2 linked regions of the Oryctolagus cuniculus genome follow. The protein of the gene in region 1 purifies or fractionates together with the protein of each later gene. This does not show direct contact. Links are inferred from orthologs where the notes say so. Each region holds a gene or a part of one and is shown on either strand. Other genes may lie near its edges. The genes, in order: EIF3G and EIF5.

Region 1 (4,326 bases):
ACGCTACCTGCACTTCCCTAGACGGCCACTTGGTGGCGCTTGCACCACAGCCTCACCCAGGGGAACGCCAAGTTTACAAAACCCTTGATTTCCTGCCCTTCCAGCCGCAGGGCCCTGAGCGTCCTTGCGCACTCGGCCCTGCTCTCCTTGGACGGGAGGCTCCGGCGCCGCTGGGTTAGCGGGAAGCTGGGATTCGAAGCGGAGCTGGGGCAGAGCCTCCGCCACTTCGGCAGGGGAGCCGGCGCGGCCCAAGCTGTGTCTGAACGGCTGCCCGCCCCAGCGGTTTTATTTTTAAAGATTTTATTTGACTTATCTGGAGGGAGAGACAAAGGTCTTCCATTCACTGGTTCACTCCCTAAATGGCTGTAACGGCTGGAGCTGAGCCAATCCGGAGCCAGGAGCTCCATCCGGGTCTCCCGTGCAGGAGCAGGGGCCCAAGGACTTGGCCCATCCTCCACTGCTTTCCCAGGCCACAGCAGAGAGCCGCATCGGAAGTGGAGCCCCGTGGCGTGCCTCCCGGCTCCCTCCTGCCCGGGCTCCACCACCCCGGACGGTGCTGTGTCTGCCCTGGGCCGTGGTGTCCAGCAGTCAGCCTAGTACTTGCTGTGTCCACACAGAGAGCTTACGTTGTCTGTGCCTCCACAGCTCGTCCATAACTGGACGTTAGCAGACGTGGCAACTCCAGGAGCGGGTCCTGAGCCTAGCGGCTGTCCCCGGGGCCCCATATCGGAGCTCCTGCAGCACCCTGGGAGGCAGGAGGTGATGACGGCTCAAGGAATGGGGTTCCCGCCACCCCTGTGGGAGACCCGGATGGAGTGCTCGGCTCCTGGCTTCGGCCTGGCCCAGCTGTGGCTGCTTTGGGCATTTTTAGGGGGTGAGCAGTAGATAGGACATCCCACTGGTGTCTTTGCCTCTGAAATAAAAATTTGTTTAAAATTGGGTTGTTTGAAACTCTCCTGTCAAGTCTTTAAGAAAGGTATTTATTAGGCAATTAGATCTTCCATCTGCTGGTTCACTCCCCAGATGTTTACAACAAGCAGAGTCCTGGGCCAGCCCAACACCAGGATCCAGGGGCTTCTTCCGGGTCTCCCGCGTGGGTGCAGAGGCCTGAGCCCTTTAACCGCCATCCGCTGCTTTCCCAGGTGCATTAGCAGGGAGCGGGATCGGAAATGGAGTAGCCGGGACTCGAACCGGCGTCCATGTTGCATTTCCGGTCAACCCTGGGAGGCGCCTAGCCGCCTCTACCCGCTTTGGGTACCAGCGCACACGGCGGCGCCTCCACGCCCGTCCGCACGGGGGCGCTGCGAGCATCCTCGGCCGGGTCGCTCTAGGCGGCGGCGGCGGCTGAACCGGAAGTCTCTTTCCTCCCCCACTTCCGCTCTCTGGCCCGGGCTCGGGCTGCGTGGAGAAGACTTTGCAATGCCGACGGGAGACTTTGAGTGAGTCCGGGGTGGCGGCGGGAGTCTCGGGAGACAGTGTGGGGGGGTCCTGGGGGACTCTTAGGGGGCCTGGGTCGCGCGGGGCTGCCGTCGTCCGGCCTCGCCGCCCCAGCTCTGTCCCCGCACGCTTGTCCCCGCAGCTCGAAGCCCAGCTGGGCCGACCAGGTGGAGGAGGAGGGCGAGGACGGTGAGTTCCCACGCGGCCCCCGGCCCGGGGCAGTGCCGCCCCGCTCGGGGCCGGGGCCTGGCCCCTGCCTTGGCCACTGCTCAGGGCCCCCCGGCACCTCCGCGCGCGGCCCCCGCCCCGCGCCACCCTCCTCGGGGCCAGCCCACTGACCCCTCCCGTCCTGCTCGGGGCCGGGGCCAGGCGTGGCGCCCGCGGGGTCTCCCGGCCCGTGCCCCACCCTCACGCCAAGGACCCCCGTGCCCTGGCCACTGCTCAGGCTGCCCCCGCCCCTGGGGCTCACCCCCGCCCGCCCCCTCCTGCAGACAAATGTGTCACCAGCGAGCTGCTCAAGGGCATCCCCCTGGCCACCGGCGACACCAGCCCGGAGCCTGAGCTGCTGCCCGGGGGTAAGTGACAGCCTCCGCCGCGGCCCTGGCCACCCCACCCCCACCCCCCGCCCGGCCCGCCGCTCCCAGGGCTCAGTTCCCCTCCCCGTCCCCCTCCTCAGCCCCACTGCCGCCCCCCAAGGAGGTCATCAACGGGAACATCAAGACGGTGACCGAGTACAAGATCGATGAGGACGGCAAGAAGTTCAAGGTGGGCCGGGGCGGGGGCTTGGGGTGCAGGCAGTTCAAGGTGGGCTGGGGGAGGGGCGTGCCGGGGCCCTGGGCGGGGGCTTGGGGTGCAGGGGGCCCACCCACTGCCCTCGCACCTGCAGATCGTGCGCACCTTCAGGATTGAGACCCGGAAGGCCTCCAAGGCTGTCGCGAGGAGGAAGGTGAGGCCCCCGCCCCCGCAGGGCTGACCCGGGAGCTGGGGACCCCTGTTCCAGGGGGAGTTGAGCTTCCGGAGGCCGGGGTGTCTGCATGTCTCTTGGGGCCCTGAGAAACTCGGGGTGCAGGAGCGGCTGGGGTTGGAGGGGGTTCCCCCGCTGTGCCCCTGGCTGGCGGCAGGCCCCGTGCCAAGCCCCTGGCGCCCGGAGAGACCCAGGGAGGCCGGGAGCTTTGGTGGTGCTGGCTTCACCGGGGAGGGACCCCCGCCTGCCCCCCCCAGCCTGGGCCTGGCATGGAGCCGCAGCTGCCCCTGTTGCGGGGTGGCTGCCGTGGTATGTGGGTGCCCAAGGCTGTGGGCCGTCGCCCGCTCCTGCCCTGACCTGACCCCCTCCCCGGAGCCCAGAACTGGAAGAAGTTTGGGAACTCGGAATTTGACCCGCCGGGGCCCAACGTGGCCACCACCACGGTCAGCGACGATGTCTCCATGACGTTCATCACCAGCAAAGAGGTGGGCGGGGCCGCGGGTGGGGGCGGGGTGGGGCCGCAGTCGGGGGCGGTGCAGGCCGTGAGCCCCCGCCTCCCCGCTGACCCCCGCCCCCCCCAGGACCTGAACTGCCAGGAGGAGGAGGACCCGATGAACAAGCTCAAGGGCCAGAAGATCGTGTCCTGCCGCATCTGCAAGGGCGACCACTGGACCACCCGCTGCCCCTACAAGGACACGCTGGGGCCCATGCAGAAGGAGCTGGCCGAGCAGCTGGGGCTGTCCACGGGCGAGAAGGAGAAGCTGCCGGGAGGTAGGCCCGGGGGCCCTGGCCGTGCCCTGGCCGTGCCCTGCCCGTGTGCTGCGGGCCTGCGCGCCCCCGTGGGTTCTGGCGGTGCCCGTGTTGCTGGCAGCGCGTGCAGATGGTGCCAGCGTCCGGGACGTGCCCTGGGGGCCGCCCGCCGGGCCTGACGCCGGCGCCCTCGTCCTGCAGAGCTGGAGCCCGTGCAGGCCGCCCAGAACAAGACGGGGAAGTACGTGCCCCCGAGCCTGCGCGACGGCGCCAGCCGCCGCGGGGAGTCCATGCAGCCCAACCGCCGAGGTGAGCTGGGCGCCCTGGGCGTGGGGGGGGCGGGCGCTGGGCGGGGCCTCCCCCGCTCAGCCAGCTGCCCCGCCCACACAGCCGACGACAACGCCACCATCCGCGTCACCAACCTGTCGGAGGACACGCGCGAGACGGACCTGCAGGAGCTCTTCCGGCCCTTCGGCTCCATCTCCCGCATCTACTTGGCCAAGGACAAGACCACTGGCCAGTCCAAGGTGGGCGGGGCCCGGGCCTGGCCGTGCATCCTGGGGCTGAGGGCGGTGCCCGGGCGGTGGGCAGGACCCTGACCTGGGCTCTGCCTCGCCAGGGCTTCGCCTTCATCAGCTTCCACCGCCGGGAGGACGCCGCGCGCGCCATCGCCGGGGTGTCAGGCTTCGGCTACGACCACCTCATCCTCAACGTGGAGTGGGCCAAGTAAGACCCCGCCCTGCCCCGCCCCGCCCCCCCCCGCCCCGCCCTGCCCCAGCCACCGAGCCTGTGTGCAGCGACAGCGCTTTATTGGCCTGCAGCAGGGCCCGTCCCCGCGCGCGGAGGTCCCACAGGGAGCCCAGGGACACCCTGAGGTCCCAGGCGCCAGCCGCGTCAGCCCCCCTCCCTCCCTCCCTCTCCCCGCAGGCCGTCCACCAACTAAGCCGGCAGCCGCGGCCGCCACCTGCGCCCTGCGTGACGAGCGGCAGCCCGGGGGGCAGGGGGCTCGGGGCAGTAAAGAGGCTCAAAGTGCTCCCTCGTGTGTGTGGACTCTGTCACCCCTGCTCGCCGGACCTGGCCGCTTCAGGGGCCCGGGGGCTGGGGTGGGGGGCGCGGGGGGCGGGCGCAGCCTGGAGGGGCAGGTCCGGGCCAGGGCTCGGGCCCCAGGGGCAGCA
Region 2 (4,467 bases), on another chromosome or scaffold:
AAAAGGTTGTTTTGTCACAAAAAAGCCTGCAATCCAGGCACACAAGGGGTCTTCAAAAATTTCATGGAAAATGCATACTACAAAAATAACTATGCATGGTTTCTACATTTTATTTTCACCAGACGTGTCAGTCAAAATTTTCCATGACTTACTGTTTAAATACCCTCGTATGACTTTGGGCAAGTTGCTTAAATTTTTCCACTAGGCCTGTTCGCACATTTGCAGAATGGGAATAAACGTTGTCCTGGGGTCTAGCAGTGAGTAAGATAGCGCCGCCAGAGCACTCGGCTGCGAGGGCGCGGGGAGAGCCTCACAACGTGGCTGTGAGTGCCACACACCAGAACTTAAAATGAGCTCAAACTATTACAAACTGGGCAAGGGAAAAAAGGCGCCTTGTATTTATTTAAAACTTTCCTGAGGACAAAGCCTCTTACCCCAGGAGAGCTGCGCGCCCTTCCTTTCCAGGAGTTTCTAAAATAACGTCACGCGTGGGCAGCCACGCAGAGCCAACCGGCCTCAACCCTGCAGTCACGCGCCGCCGCGACCCTGCCCAGCACGGCCGAGTTACTCCCTAACCCGCACTAGGCGGGCCGAACGGCTTACAGAGCCCACAACACCAGGAAGAGTAACCCTGCACTGGAAGGGGAGAGGGAGTGGGAGAGGGGAGCGTTGTGGGTGGCAGGGAAGTTACGGGGGGGGGGGGGGGGAGCTATTGTAATCCATAAGCTGTACTTCGGAAATTTATGCTCATTAAATAAAAAAAAATAAATTAAAAAAAAAAAGAGTAACCCTGCACTTTGATGTAAAAAAAAAAAAAAAGCCTCTAAGCTTGCAAACTGCACGGGTTAACACCCACGCTGTCCACTCCAGGTGCGGACCCGGGGAGCCCGGCCAGGAAGCAGCCAGCAGTCCGAGTCCAGCTCAGACTCGGACGCAGAAGCCCGAGTTCCTGGAAGCACAGGGAAGCTGCGGCAGAACAAGACGCGAGCCCTGTCGCCACAGCCGCCCTGGTCACCCCGGGGCCCCATGCGACGGGCGGTCACTCGGGGCAAAGCGGCAGAGGGGCAGCGAGGGTCGGGGCTCTCCAAGCCTGGGGCAGCGCAGCGGACACTGCGCCGAGGCGGGGCGCTGCCAGGAGGCCCCGCTACGAGCGAGTCCGAGGTTTCCACTTCTGAAACCGGGGAGCCACGGTGTGGGAGGGGAGCGGCCAGGCTCGGCGCGACGAAGTCCCTGGCCTGCCCCATCCAAGGGCCAGGGTCCCCCGAGGCCACTCGGCCCAAAGAGGCGGATAAAAGGCAGCACTCGCGATCCAGGAGCCGGGCAGGGGCCGGCGGGCGAGTGCCCGGCCCCTAGTCGAGCGCGCCGCCGCGAGGAGCGGCCCGGAGCGCTGCAGGCCCGAGCCAGGCCCAGGCCCAGCCTCAGGCAGACGGGGGAGGGGAACCAACCGCCATCTTTCCCAGAGTGCCGTAACCACTAGACGAAGCTCCGCCGCGGCGGCCGCTCCCTCTCTCGCGAGATCTGGCGCCTGCGCCGCGAAGGCCACTGGGAAAAGCGGGGGGAGGGGAGAGGAAGGAAGCCGGGACCCCGGCTGGAGGCGGGCTGAAGCGGCGACAGGACCCTCAGGAAGAGGGGGCGGGGAGAGGGCGCGATTGACGCGGCGTGCAGGCCAATCAAAAGCGAGCTCGGGCGGGCCTCCGGCCAATCGGTAGTGCGGCCTAGCGCGAGGGGCGGGCGCTGGGGCCGAAGGTAGCTTGAGCGCGGCGGCGGCGTTGTTCAGTCAGAGCGAGAACATTCCAGAGGTGAGTCCGCTGGAGGGGCGGCGGCCCCGCGCCCCCTCCCCGCCCCCCGACCCCGCGGGCCGCTGGCTGGCGGGGCAGGCGCGCCCGCCCGGCCGCGGCTCACGGCGCCGTCTCTCCGCGCCAGGTCGCCGCTCCGCGCTGCCCGACCGCGGACGTCTGGGACAGCCCCTCCCGCTGCTCGGCGGCGGCACCTGGCCCGGCCGCTCCCCGCGCTGCGCTGCGCTCCGCTCCGCCGCCTCCGCCGCCCCGGACTCGGACTCGGGTTGAGACGCGCCTCACTTCATCCCAGTCCCGGGCGAGCAGCGTTGGGTTTATGTCTTTATTTGACGAAAACGGTGAGTCGCGGGCGGGCGGGCGGGCGGGCGGACGGGAGATGGCGGCCGCACAAGATGGCGGCGCCGCCGCGTGACCCGCCGCGGCGTGTGGCGCAGTTTGGGGGGCGGGCGGCCCGCGGCCCGCAGCCGGCGCGGCCTCTGCCCTGCCGGCGGGAGCGCGCGCTGCCGCATCTGTGAGTCACCGCGCCCGCGGCGGGGGTGGCCGGCGGCCCCGGCGCCGCGGCGGGCCCGGGATGGGCCCGGCGCCCCTGAGCGCCTCGGAGGGCGCGGGGCCGAAGGTCAGGCGCGCGGGGCCGGGCGGGCCCTCGCGCCCGCGGCCGGACGCTGGAGTAAGCCGGCGCCGCGGCGCCAACGCTCCGCTCGGCCCCGGACTGCGGCTCGGGGGGCAGGGCTGGCCGCCCCGGCGGGTGGGGGCGGGGCGGGCTTCCGCGGGCGGCGGCCGGCGTTCCCGGGCCCGGGCCGCGGCGTCGCCAGCGCGGAGGCCCCGTCTGTCGCCGGCGGCGTGCGGGGTCGGGGAGTCGGAGGCGCCCCGCCGGGTCCGGGGCTGTGTGTGGCGCGGGCAGCCCGTCGGTGCGGGAGTGACGTTACACCTGCGGGGATCGGGTGTGTTCTTTGCTTCTCTTGCAGAGCTGTTGCGCAGCCATTGGTACCTGTATTGGGGACACATAGCATACAAGCAAGAAGCTTGCAGCCTCAGTGGCGAAAATTTTTTCATGTCAGAGACCGAGAACTCTTGCAGTCGTTTATGTCATCCCTTCTTCTCCAGACAGAAGATACCAAAAAGTTGCAATCAAAGATCTCTTCATCTTATTGATAAAGCCACTAATAAGCCAAAATGTCTGTCAACGTCAACCGCAGCGTGTCAGACCAGTTCTATCGCTACAAGATGCCCCGTCTGATTGCCAAGGTAATGCTGATCTTCGATTTTGTAGGAAGACTGTAGATGTTTAAGTAGATTAAATGCAAAAATAAAGTTCGTGTTCTCTTTAGGTTGAGGGCAAAGGAAATGGAATCAAGACAGTTATAGTCAACATGGTTGACGTTGCAAAGGCGCTTAATCGGCCTCCAACGTGTAAGTAAAGCTTCTTGGAGAAGTCTGAAAAGGTATATGACGAATATATATTGTCTTGATCCTCTTTAAGCTGAAAAACATTTACGAATTCTTTGCTAATTAGTTGAAAGGGTAAGGAGTGGAACCTCTAACAAATGTAATAGTTGTCTTAAGTTCACAAAATTACCTGGGCAGCACATTAGATTTAGCACGATTTTTTTTGTTTTAAAGATTTGAGAGGCAGAGAGAGGGGCTGTCCATCTGCTGGTTCACTCCCCAAATGGTCACAACAGCTGGAGCTGAGCTGATCAGGAGCTTCTTGTCTCCCAGTTGGGTGCAAGGGGCCACCTTACATTGCTTTCCCATGCCATAGCAGAGAGCTGGATCAGCTGGAACTCAAACAGGCGTCCATATGGAATGCTGGCACTGCAGGTGGCAGCTTTACCTACACCACTAGCTCTGTGCCCAACAACTTAAAAACAGTGATTTTTGTGTAAGATATGAACAAGCAGCCAGACATTTAGTTAACTGTAATGAGGCAAATCTAATTGTTTTTCTCCAAATAGATCCCACCAAATATTTTGGTTGTGAGCTGGGAGCACAGACCCAGTTTGATGTTAAGAATGACCGTTACATTGTCAATGGATCTCATGAGGCGAATAAGCTGCAAGACATGTTGGATGGATTCATTAAAAAATTTGTTCTCTGTCCTGAGTGTGAGAATCCTGAAACAGATCTGGTGAGTGAATGCAGCAGGGTTTTTGTTTGGAACAGACAAAACCATCTGCCTGCCTCTGAGCAATCCTGTGGTAGCACTGCCTTTCCTGGGAAGGCAAGGCACACTTTGCTGTTAGAAAACAACGCACCTACAATTTTTTTTAAGTAGGTCGCCGTCTCTCATTTCTTATGATGGTTTTTTTTCCTTTTCCAGCATGTCAATCCGAAGAAGCAAACAATAGGCAATTCTTGTAAAGCCTGTGGCTATCGAGGCATGCTTGACACACATCATAAACTCTGCACGTTCATTCTCAAAAACCCACCTGGTAAGGCTTCATACTAAACTAATAAGATTTTTTTTTTTAAATTTATTTATTTATCTGAAAGTCAGTTACATAGAAGGAGAGGCAGAGAGAGCTCTTCCATCTGCTGGTTCACTCCCCAGTTGGCCGTCGCTGATCCGAAGCCGGGAGCTGCTTCTAGGTCTGCCACTCAGGTGCAGGGGCCCAAGGACTTGGGCCATCTTCTACAGCTTTCCCAGGCCATAGCAGAGAGCTGGATGGGA

Evidence for each region.
Region 2: the proteins of EIF3G (region 1) and EIF5 purify together in Homo sapiens (affinity purification with western blotting; 3 studies listed by BioGRID and IntAct, with this or other methods). This does not show direct contact. The link is inferred for Oryctolagus cuniculus from reciprocal best matches to the Homo sapiens genes EIF3G and EIF5.

The regions. Positions count from the first base shown.
Region 1 is NC_091447.1:67,187,250-67,191,575, forward strand, and holds EIF3G (eukaryotic translation initiation factor 3 subunit G), read left to right. Parts: upstream 1-1,290; 5' UTR 1,291-1,419; coding exon 1,420-1,439; intron 1,440-1,579; coding exon 1,580-1,626; intron 1,627-1,928; coding exon 1,929-2,012; intron 2,013-2,113; coding exon 2,114-2,202; intron 2,203-2,323; coding exon 2,324-2,383; intron 2,384-2,781; coding exon 2,782-2,886; intron 2,887-2,982; coding exon 2,983-3,172; intron 3,173-3,352; coding exon 3,353-3,460; intron 3,461-3,541; coding exon 3,542-3,678; intron 3,679-3,770; coding exon 3,771-3,877; intron 3,878-3,944; exon of another isoform or gene 3,945-4,078; coding exon 4,079-4,094; 3' UTR 4,095-4,184; downstream 4,185-4,326. Other genes in the region: suppressor of SWI4 1 homolog, read right to left, coding at 4,207-4,326. UniProt on the Homo sapiens protein: RNA-binding component of the eukaryotic translation initiation factor 3 (eIF-3) complex, which is required for several steps in the initiation of protein synthesis.
Region 2 is NC_091451.1:46,204,411-46,208,877, forward strand, and holds the start of EIF5 (eukaryotic translation initiation factor 5), read left to right. Parts: upstream 1-1,660; 5' UTR 1,661-1,799; intron 1,800-1,923; 5' UTR 1,924-2,134; intron 2,135-2,761; 5' UTR 2,762-2,969; coding exon 2,970-3,041; intron 3,042-3,124; coding exon 3,125-3,206; intron 3,207-3,751; coding exon 3,752-3,924; intron 3,925-4,116; coding exon 4,117-4,228; intron 4,229-4,467.